Linked DNA regions of Sus scrofa. The protein of the gene in region 2 interacts with the protein of the main gene of each other region in a pairwise test. Links are inferred from orthologs where the notes say so. Each region holds a gene or a part of one and is shown on either strand. Other genes may lie near its edges.

Evidence for each region. The genes of interacting proteins can lie anywhere in the genome.
Region 1: the proteins of DBNL (region 2) and SH3BP2 interact in binary tests that used the Homo sapiens proteins (3 or more experiments, as listed by UniProt). The link is inferred for Sus scrofa from reciprocal best matches to the Homo sapiens genes DBNL and SH3BP2.

What each region holds. Positions count from the first base shown.
Region 1 is NC_010450.4:1,599,414-1,604,160, reverse strand, and holds the start of SH3BP2 (SH3 domain-binding protein 2), read right to left. Parts: upstream 2,957-4,747; 5' UTR 2,821-2,956; coding exon 2,738-2,820; intron 1-2,737. UniProt on the Homo sapiens protein: Binds differentially to the SH3 domains of certain proteins of signal transduction pathways. Binds to phosphatidylinositols; linking the hemopoietic tyrosine kinase fes to the cytoplasmic membrane in a phosphorylation dependent mechanism.
Region 2 is NC_010460.4:48,722,783-48,727,393, forward strand, and holds the start of DBNL (drebrin-like protein), read right to left. Parts: upstream 2,892-4,611; 5' UTR 2,813-2,891; coding exon 2,730-2,812; intron 1-2,729. UniProt on the Homo sapiens protein: Adapter protein that binds F-actin and DNM1, and thereby plays a role in receptor-mediated endocytosis.

The sequences.
Region 1 (4,747 bases), on a different chromosome or scaffold from region 2:
CTTTCAGGTGGTCCTCCCTGACCTCTGGCTGGTCCTGCGTCACTCTCTTTACCATCACCAGCTCAGGCCCAGCAGAGGGGGGGCCCAGGCAGTTCCAAAGGGGATGCAGAAGGTTGACCCTGCTAGGTGTTAGGGACCTCAAGTTGCCTGGAAGGCACAGGGAGCTGAAACAGCCCCCCATATATCACATCCTTTCCAGGCAGGTGTGCTGGAGGGGGGGTGGCAGAACAGAGGACTCATGGCGCCGGTGCCTCCTCCTGGCCCCAAACCTGGTCAGCTCAGTGGCCAGGCAGGTGCTCTGTGGCCGGAGGAAGGCAGGTTGGAGCTCCCCCCTCACCTCCCCTGGGAATGTCCCTGCCTCAGAAGAGGGGCCATCGAAGTGGGAGCTCATCTTGATACCCAAACACTCTGCAACCCCCCAGCCTTGCCTTGCACCTCTGGGTGAGCTGGGTTGGCACCCTCCCCGGAGCCCAGAACCAGGCCGAGCTGGAGCAGGACGGGGAAGTGGTGGCTGAGGGCGAGGGTGACGCTGGGCCGTGCTGATGCGGACCACACAGCTCTGGGGGAATTTCCACCCAGTTCGCAGCTCCAACGCCACTGGTGCCCAGGAAAGTCCAGGGGAGTCCCCAAGGGGCACCCATGCTCCTGGCCAGCTTGGCCTCCCTGCTCTCTCCCTCAGGGCCCAGGGGCCCCTCACCAGCAGGAAGCCTCCGTCCCTCCGCCACAGGGCAGACACCCCCACGGTGACTCCTCCCTGTGCTGCTGGCAGTGCCCACCGGGCAGCCCTGGTGGGAGCTGGCAGGGAGTGTGCCAGAGCCCTGGGCTCCAGTCCTGCCAGGCCTGTCCTCCCTCCAGTTAAAAGGGGCCTGGGAGAGCCCAATCCTCACAGCCCGGCACAGTCCGGCAGCAGTGACGGGGCCTCCCCTGGGGACATCTGTCCCTCACAGGAGGGGACTGAGGCCACCCAGTGGGCCGGCAGCAGGTCAGCACTCACGTTCCAGGCTTGGGCCGCCGGGGGCAGGGCTCAGGAGGCACAGGGCAGCGTCAGGGTGGCTGACGGGCCGCGCGAGCCCTTCCAGGAGGTATGCGATTGTGTGTACCTGCGTGTGAGCAGCACACCCACTAGGGAAGGCAGGCACCTCTGAGCCTCGGCTGTGCTCCTGTGCCCACCCCCACCTCCCCTCAGAGTTGAGACTGGTCTGTGGGACCCAAGGCCTAAGGCTGTCGGGTGGGGACAGAGCTGGAGGGTGAAAACCGCTGTCACACAGCCACAGCCCCGCTGAGCTCCCCTCCGGCCTGGCTGTGAGCCCAGGGCCACACTGCAGCTGTAGTCTGCACCCTCGGTCATTGTCACTGACGGCGCCCCAAATAGGACATGTGCATGAGCTGCACAGCTTGAATGCAGAAGGCTCTGTGTGTGCACGTCAGTGTGTGCGCACACCTGTGTGCCCGTGTGAGCCTGTGCCCGGGAGCGGACGACACCTGCAGGTTCAGCCCCAGCTGTGGTGAGGGAGCTGACGCCTCGGGTGACCACAGTGTCAGGGGGTTCCTGTCAGTGGTGACCAGGCCGGCCTGTTCGTGAGAGCCGCAGGGGAGGTGGGGCTGGGAGTCCCAGCCCCAGTGGAGAAGAGGCCAGGTCCCCCAGTGCACACGTTCACACCCACCCACCTGTGTAAACCACACGTGCACTCGCACACTAACATGCATGTGTACTCACCCGCACACTCATACATCCACACCCGCACACAACCTCTAGGGGCTAACAGGACCCTCAGGCGGGCTCAGGGCCCTGGGCGGGCAGCCAGGGCCCAGGTCCGGGTCGTCATCCCTGCCTCGCAGCCCCGCGCTGGTCCAGCGCCAGGTCTGACCGGACAGCTGGCCACACCCCAGGCTTCCCTCCCATCGCACGGCCCAGGAGGCTGAGCCGGGCTCTGTGCTTCTCAGAGGTCACCCCACGTCATCACCACAACACCCCTGAGAGTGAGCCAGCACCGTCCCCACGTCACTGATGAAGACACCACGGGTCAGAGAAGCTGAGGAACTCAGAAGTCAAGTCACACAGCCAGTCAATGATGGAGCGCCCCCCACGCCTGGCCCAGAGCGGGCGCTAGGCGGCGCGGGGCCCCAGCGCCTGACACCCAGCTCCTTCTCGCTCCCCTTTCAGTTTCTCCTCCTTCTTCCTCTTCCCAGAATCTTTCTCCATAAAAGAATGAAAACCAAAACATCCCTACAAAGGCCCGTGACCAGCGGTGCCAGGGGAGGGAGGCTCGACCTGGGCCCCTGAGACCCCGGGGCTCTTGGACACCCCACCAGGCCCCCAAGCTCAGCACTCCCGGGGGGCTCACACAGCTCGCTCTGCCCTCCTGCAGGCACAGGACATGCTCGTACTCACACCACACACACAATCACGCAGTATGTAGGCACACAGAACCCAAAGGCCAAGCTGCCCTGGCATGGTGTACCGTGGGAAGGCTCGCCCGACCCAGGCCCCACCCTCCTGCCAGCTGCTGGCTGAGTGGCGCGTGACCCAGGGGCAGCAGTGGTGTCTCTCTGGGCGCCGTTTGCCCCGGCCATCCCTGAGGGCTCTCCTCTCAAGGGCCCGGGGCCAGCGTCCTGCGGGTGCCCACCGCGGCCCCAAGGAGGGCCCTGGCTCCCACGCGGAGCCTCCCTCAGCGGTTCTACGGGTGCTGGGCTGACACCACCTCCCGAACCCCCAGCCCCAGGGCTGCCCACTGACCTGGTGGCACTGACCCAGCACATGGCTCTCTTCCTGCCTGGCACTGGATTGGAGGCAGGTGTCCTGGGGCCCGGGAAGGCCATGTGGCTCAGGGGCCATGGGGCGGGGCTTCAGCCCGCATCCTCCAGGCGGGTGAGGCCCGATGCCCCGCACTGCCCGGAATGCCGCCTGCTGGCTGCGTCCGCCGATCCCTCCTGCTGGCAGCTGCCTGCTGCATCTGGGGCCTGCGGCCTCCAGGGCTTCCTCCCCGCCCAGGACTTCCTGTTGCTGGATTGCTGGGCAGCCCCCGGTAGCCAGCACTTCCTGCCTTCCACCCTTCAAGGGCCTGAGGCCCGTTGGGGCCCAGTACAGTGCCCTGTCAGCACTGTTTAGCCTGCTGGGTTTTAGCCGTGCCCACTGTGGCCAGAGACCACAGCTCTCCAGGCCCAGGGGCAAGGCCAGCCATGTCCCCTGGGAGGAAGCGCCCCTGCAGTCCCTCCAGGGCCAGCTCCGCGTACTTGGCTTCTTCCCAGCAAATACCTGATGGCCCAGAAGCCCAGCTTCCCAGCCCCTGAGATACCTCCACAAGAAGCTAGTGCTTGTGCCCCACACAGGGAGCTCACTACCTCCCTGGCGTGCTCCTGCCACCAACGTGGACACAGCCACCCACTCCGCCTTCTGAGGCCACAGAGAGGGGCTGTGCCTCTTGCATCAGGAGCTTTTGGCGTTTCAAGGTAGCCCTTGATACCAAGGGACCAAGGGGCCAGTTCCGAGCCTGCGCCAGGCATTTCCCCATCACCTTCCCTCCCTCTCCCCCCACCAGCCTCCCATGCCAGGCGCAGCCTCTGTGACCGGGCTGGGCTTACACGCCTCCGGTGATCGCCACTTTCTGCTGCCTCTGCAAACACCTGGCTGTCTGCTGCCTCTGCAAACACCTGGCTTGCTAGAAAGCACTTTTGGCCTGAGTAGCAAAGCAGCCCCCATCACTCCCTGCTCCCTGGCCCATTCCACTCAGGATGCAGCCCCTCTCCTGGGCCTACCCTGCCCCGCCAAGCCCCACTTCCTCCCCTGCCCAGCTCCACAGCCGGGAAGCAGGGAGCAGGGATTCAAGCCCAGGCTCTGGCGCTGAGGCCCCAGGTCCCCTGCCTCTCCCCAAGCCTGGGTCTCCAGGTCACAACACTCCAAGATGGAAGCAGTGCTCTGGGGCCACGGCAGGATGTGAGGGTGACAGAGGCCGTGGACCACAGGGTCTTTGGGAGTTGCAAAGGCCTCACCCTGCCCACCAGGTTTCCCAGGGCACAGCCCCACAGCCAGCTGTGCCAGCACCTGGCCATCGCACGTACGCGTGTCGGGGCACTGAGGGAGGCATTCTGGGGCTGGGGCTCCATCTCCCAGAGAGTACACAGCTCCAGGCTTCTGCCAAGGCCCCCACGCCACCTGGGGGCAGCCCGGGTCTCAGGCCACCCGCTGTGCCCTGGAACCCGGGGAGTTCAGGCTTTTGTGCCCAAGCTCTCCTCAAGGTGGGTCCAGTGACCCTGGCCTCCCCAGCCCGCGACAACCTCAGTGCCCCCCAACCCCGTGGCTGAAAGCTGACCAAGGAGATGGACAAAGGGGAGGTCACGTGGGGGCTTGTCCCCTTCTCCTTCACAGCTGCCCAGAACGGGCAGACCCACTAGTCAGACCCAGCCTGGCACCCAGCCCACCTCTGCCCTTTGCCAGCTGTGGGCCTCAGGATACTGACTGAGCCTCTCTGAGCCTTAGTTATCTCACCTGGAAATGGATGATGACGGTTGAGATAAAACAGCAGGTTAGGAGCCCCCGGGACAGGGACCAGCCGGGACAGGTCAGCAGAGCAGATCTGGGGTTGGGGCTTCAAGTGGCTGAGGGACCAGAGGGGGTGCCCAACAGGCTCTAAATCAGAGGAGGGGGCCATGTTTGACTGGGACGGGGGTGGGATGAGGAAGTCAAGGCAGAGCAGCAAGGCACCAGCCCAGGGAGGCTGGGCAGTGGCGGCGGGGTGGGGGGGCTGCA
Region 2 (4,611 bases):
GAAAACATGAGGCTCCCACTGTGATGCAGGGGGTTAGGAATCCGACTGCAGCAGTGCAGGTCACTGAAGAGGCCTGGGTTTAATCCCTAGCTCGGCACAGTAGTTTAAAGGTTTTGGCGATGCCGCAGCTGTGGTGTAGGTTGCAGCCATGTCTCAGATTCCACCCCTGGCCCAGAACTTCCACACCCTGCAGACGTGGCCATGAAAAAAAAAGAAAAGAAAGAAAACAGGAAATGACTTGGGAGGTGGTAGATGTCCAGACTCTGGCGGGCTGGAGTCCTGGCCAGCCTTCCTCCTGGAAGAAAGAAGCCCGCTCCTCTTGAAGGCACAAGACCTTGACTGCAGAAGACGAGGACAATGGACAGGTAGCAGGAACAGAGACAGCTGCTCAGCTCAGCTCTTCCAACAAGGGTTCCAGCAGCTAACAAGCCAAGCTCCATGCTGCCCACCACGCCTCTGACTTCATTCCCCTCCACTGAGCTCCAGCTTAAGCCACCTTCTTGATTATTCCCAGTTCAGAGGCTCAGCCCACAGTCAACCAAATTCTGCTCTTCTTTCAAACCAACATGGAAAAAAAAAAAAAAATATGCTGGCTTGTGAAGGCATACGGCACAAGGAGCATGGGCTGCTGAGCTCCTTATATTTCCGTCACTTTCCAAAAATGCACACTAAGAACCTGCTTCCCGCCGGTGATGGGAAAATGCAGCCGTGGATAACCCCTAGGAGGCCCTGTCCATGGAATATACTTTCTAAAGGGAGAAAAAAGAAACACAGACATCAACACTAAGATACTGTCAGGTAGTGAAGTGGGTGCAGGAAGTGAGCAAACATGCCACAGGCCAGGGGAAGAACCGCCTGGGGAACCGGGAGAGAGACCCAGCGTGGAGAAGGGCTGCTGTGGCTGCTCCCATTCCCCCTGGCTTCACGGCCTGGCCCAAGGCCCCCGCCTGCACATGACAATGACCTTCCATGCTGGGGGCACCTCTTCTAGCTCTGATATCCTCTACCACTCTCCCTGTACCCCCTCAGTCCATCTGAGCATCGCATCTACTATACATAAACAGCCCTGCCCTGGAGACAGAAAAGGGGCCCACCCCACCATTTCTGAGGGGAAGAAAGGTGACAAGAAAATCCGTGAGGCTGTCTGGCATCTGCCTGGAGGAGTCAAACAGGGAGATGGGAAAATCTGACTGTAGCCAGGGAACCAGGAATCGAGAAAGGCCTCTTTGCAAGGTTTTCTTGTGGCAGAGCAGGTTAAGGGTTCAGCGCTGTCATTGAAGCAGGTCGCTGCTGTGGCACGGGTTCGATCCCTGGCCTGGGAACTTCTATGTGCTGTGTACGTGAGGAAACAAAACAACACGAACAGGCCTCTCTGAGAAGAAGGTAACATGAGAGCTGAGAAGTGAAGTCTGGGGAGCCCCAGGCAGAGGGCGCAGCAAGTCCAAGGGCTCTGAGCAGACATGAGTTTGCGGGTTTAAGGAGGAGAAAGGAGGCGAGAGTGGTGGTAAACTGGTGTGACCAGAGTGTGATAAATAGGAGGGGGTTGGGGAGCCAGGCCATGCAGGGCCTGTCAGCCATGGGGCTTTATTTATGATGCAAGAGGAAGCCGCTGCAGAGTTTACACAGGGAAGTGCCACGGTCTATTTCTTCAGCTCGTGAATGGGACCTGCCCACACTGATGTGGCCCCAGAGAGTCTGCTGACCCAGACAGCTGGTGTTCTGAAGTTCTTTCCCAAGGCCTGGGGGTTAAGAACAGGCAAGGCTACAACGTTCTTAGTGTCACAGAAGTACACTGTCCGAAAGCCACCCTATGCTGGGCACCAGGGGAAGCCAAGAAAGTAGCAGCACTTGACAAGTGGAGAGAGTCATGGTAGCACAGCCACGCCCAGAAGGCCCTTCCCCAGGCAATGGGAAAAAGGCTCCCCAGAGCTGGTCACCTTAGTCCATCCTACTCAGCATATTTCCTAGTGCTCAAAGGTGGCCAGCGAAAACAAGAAGCAGATGGGGAAATAACAGAATCCTCAAGCATAGAAGGACCCTACTTGCAGGACAAAGAGCTTACCCTATGTGTGGGCTGCCCAGGGCTGTCCCAGGGACTTCAGGTCCAGGCTTCCAGTTCTACAAAGTCCCTAACACTGCCAGCCTAGCAAAGGATGTCATTAGGAGGTGGAGGGAGACGGGACCTTTATGGCCAGCAGTGTCCTTTCATTCACCCCCCCATGGCTCAAGCATTGCAGTATTTTTGGGGAAAGGGAGGTTCTGAAATACACGTTCACAAATAACATAGCACCTAGTTCCCTCGACCTCCCTGTTTGACCCTCCAGAGCAAGGCGCCCATTCCTGGTCGGGCTTCCAGACCACTCTGAGGGGCCCATCCCCGAACACAGCGTTTGGAAGAAGCCAGGCGTGGCTTCCGCTTTCTCAGGGAGGGCTGTGAAGGGCCCCTTTGTCCAGGGAAGTCCCCGGGCACGAGAGAAGAACCTGGCGAGGCCATCGAGCACAGAATTCAACGAGGCCCGCGGAACCGAGACTGGTGGCTAGCAGAGGGTACGGGCTGGGGACTCACGGGGTTCCCACGCCGGGTTTAACTTGCCCACGCACGGTGGGGCAAGGGGTGACGAGGCTGGGGGCCGCAGCGCCCCGGATGCGGCGCAGGTACGGGGCGGACAAGACTCCGCGCCCCCTGGCTCCCCTGCCCCCGGCCCGCCTCCGGCCGTCTCGCAACCCACCAGTCGGTCGGGGACTTCTCGTCGACCACTCGCATGTAGGCGTCCTGCAGCGCCGGCCCATTCCGGCTCAGGTTCACAGCCATGGCCGACCCCGCGGTCCCCGCACCTCCACTGCCGCCGCTGCTTCCGGGCCCGGCCCGCCCACGGCGGCCAGAAGCCCCGCCCGACGGCCGGAAGCCCCGCCCCCAACGGCCGGAAGCGGAAGTACATGGGTGAGCGGACTGGCTGGACGTGTAGGGGGCGGGCAAAGGGCCCGCGGCCTGCAGCCGCCCCCGCAGGAGCGGAAGGAGAGAGGGCGCGGCTTTCTGCGCGTCCCCGGGCTGTCCCTCCGAGCTGGGCCAGCTTTGTGGCGAGGGACCCCACCCATCCTCTATGAGCTGTTCTCACGGTGCATTTTCGCTTCTAATTCTTGTCGCAGTTAAAGCACTTACTTGAGAATCTTGGGTTCGCGGCAGGCTCGGGATGCCCCGAGCTTGTGCGGCCCCTCAATAGAAGTCGTATCTATCAATGAAGCATGCGTGAATTGATGAATAGAAGAATAAAAATGAATGAACCAAATGCGGGTCCCACGGCCACAAAACAGACTCAAAGTGCTGTTGGGACTCTTTGATCGCACCTGCGTCTTCCTCTCTAGCTTGGTTGAGGATGGGGTAGCAGAGGAAAGATGAGAACCTGGCCCGTGCTGGTCCCGTTACCAAACCAAACTGGGGTCCACTGGCCCCAGTGCAGTAAAGTGAATCTACTGACATGAGGTTATGGTGAAGGGACGTGCAGTATTTATTGCAGGTGCCAAGCAAGGAGTCCAGGTAGTTACTGCTCAAAAGACCTGAACTCCCCAATGGTTTTCAGGGAAAGGTTTTTAAACACGGGGACGAGGGATTGGGGTGCTCCGTGTGGTGACCAGGTTCATCCCTATGGATAAGGGAAAAGTGGGGAGACCCAGATTCCACTGAGAGAAGACTGAGAGGAGGGGGTCCCTGGTGTGGGAAGCTGGGGGCACTAGGATTCCACTTCCTGCTCTAATGTGTGGGAGCTTTTATCTGCCTGACGGATCAGGGAAGGCGTCTCAGAGGTAACAGTGGAGCAGAGACTGGATTGGGGGATGTGTGTGTGTGTGGGGGGTGCAGCTATGGACGATCTGGGCAGAAGTGTTCCAGAAAGAGGGAGCAGTATGTGTCGGAGCTCTGAGGTGGAGCACAGAGAGAAAGAGCGGGAAGGAGCATGGTGGAGGCTGGATCCTATAGGACCTCGGGGCTTTGGGTTTTATTCCTAGGTGGGATGGAGTCCTTGGTGGGCTTTAAAGAGAAAGGACGTGGTCTAGGGATGTTTTAAGTGTCCCTCTGTCTACTGTGCAGACCCTCTTGGTACCAGTCTCCCTCTCACGCCTGCTTTTCCTGAGTTCCTGTTTCCTTCCGCCATCTCTCGTGTTGGTTAGCTGGTCCTTGGTTCGAGCCTATGAGATGTCTCCACAGGTCACTCCTAGGACCCTTCTCTCCTTAGCGAATTTCTCCATCATTCACACAAGCCTCTGTACGTTTCTTGCATGTGGACAGACTCAGATCTGCCTTACTTCTTGATGCTCTCCTGGTAGATTTAGATGAAAATCCCAGGGCACAAAAGCAGGACTCTGAATGGTCAGTGGCCTCCATACTCTGAGGGCAGTTGACTGTGTCCTGAAGGCATCTGGGCCCAAGAGTAGAGGGAGCACTTTGGCAAACTCCCTCTGGAACCCACCGTCTAGAAGGAATTAACAGCATTACGGAAAAGAGCTGCCTGACAGGCGCAGCAGTGTCCCCCAGTGTTTCAGTCCAAAATACCATAAACCTCGTGGCTTATGAACAACGGAAGTTAACGTCTCATAGTTCTAGAGGGTAGACATCCA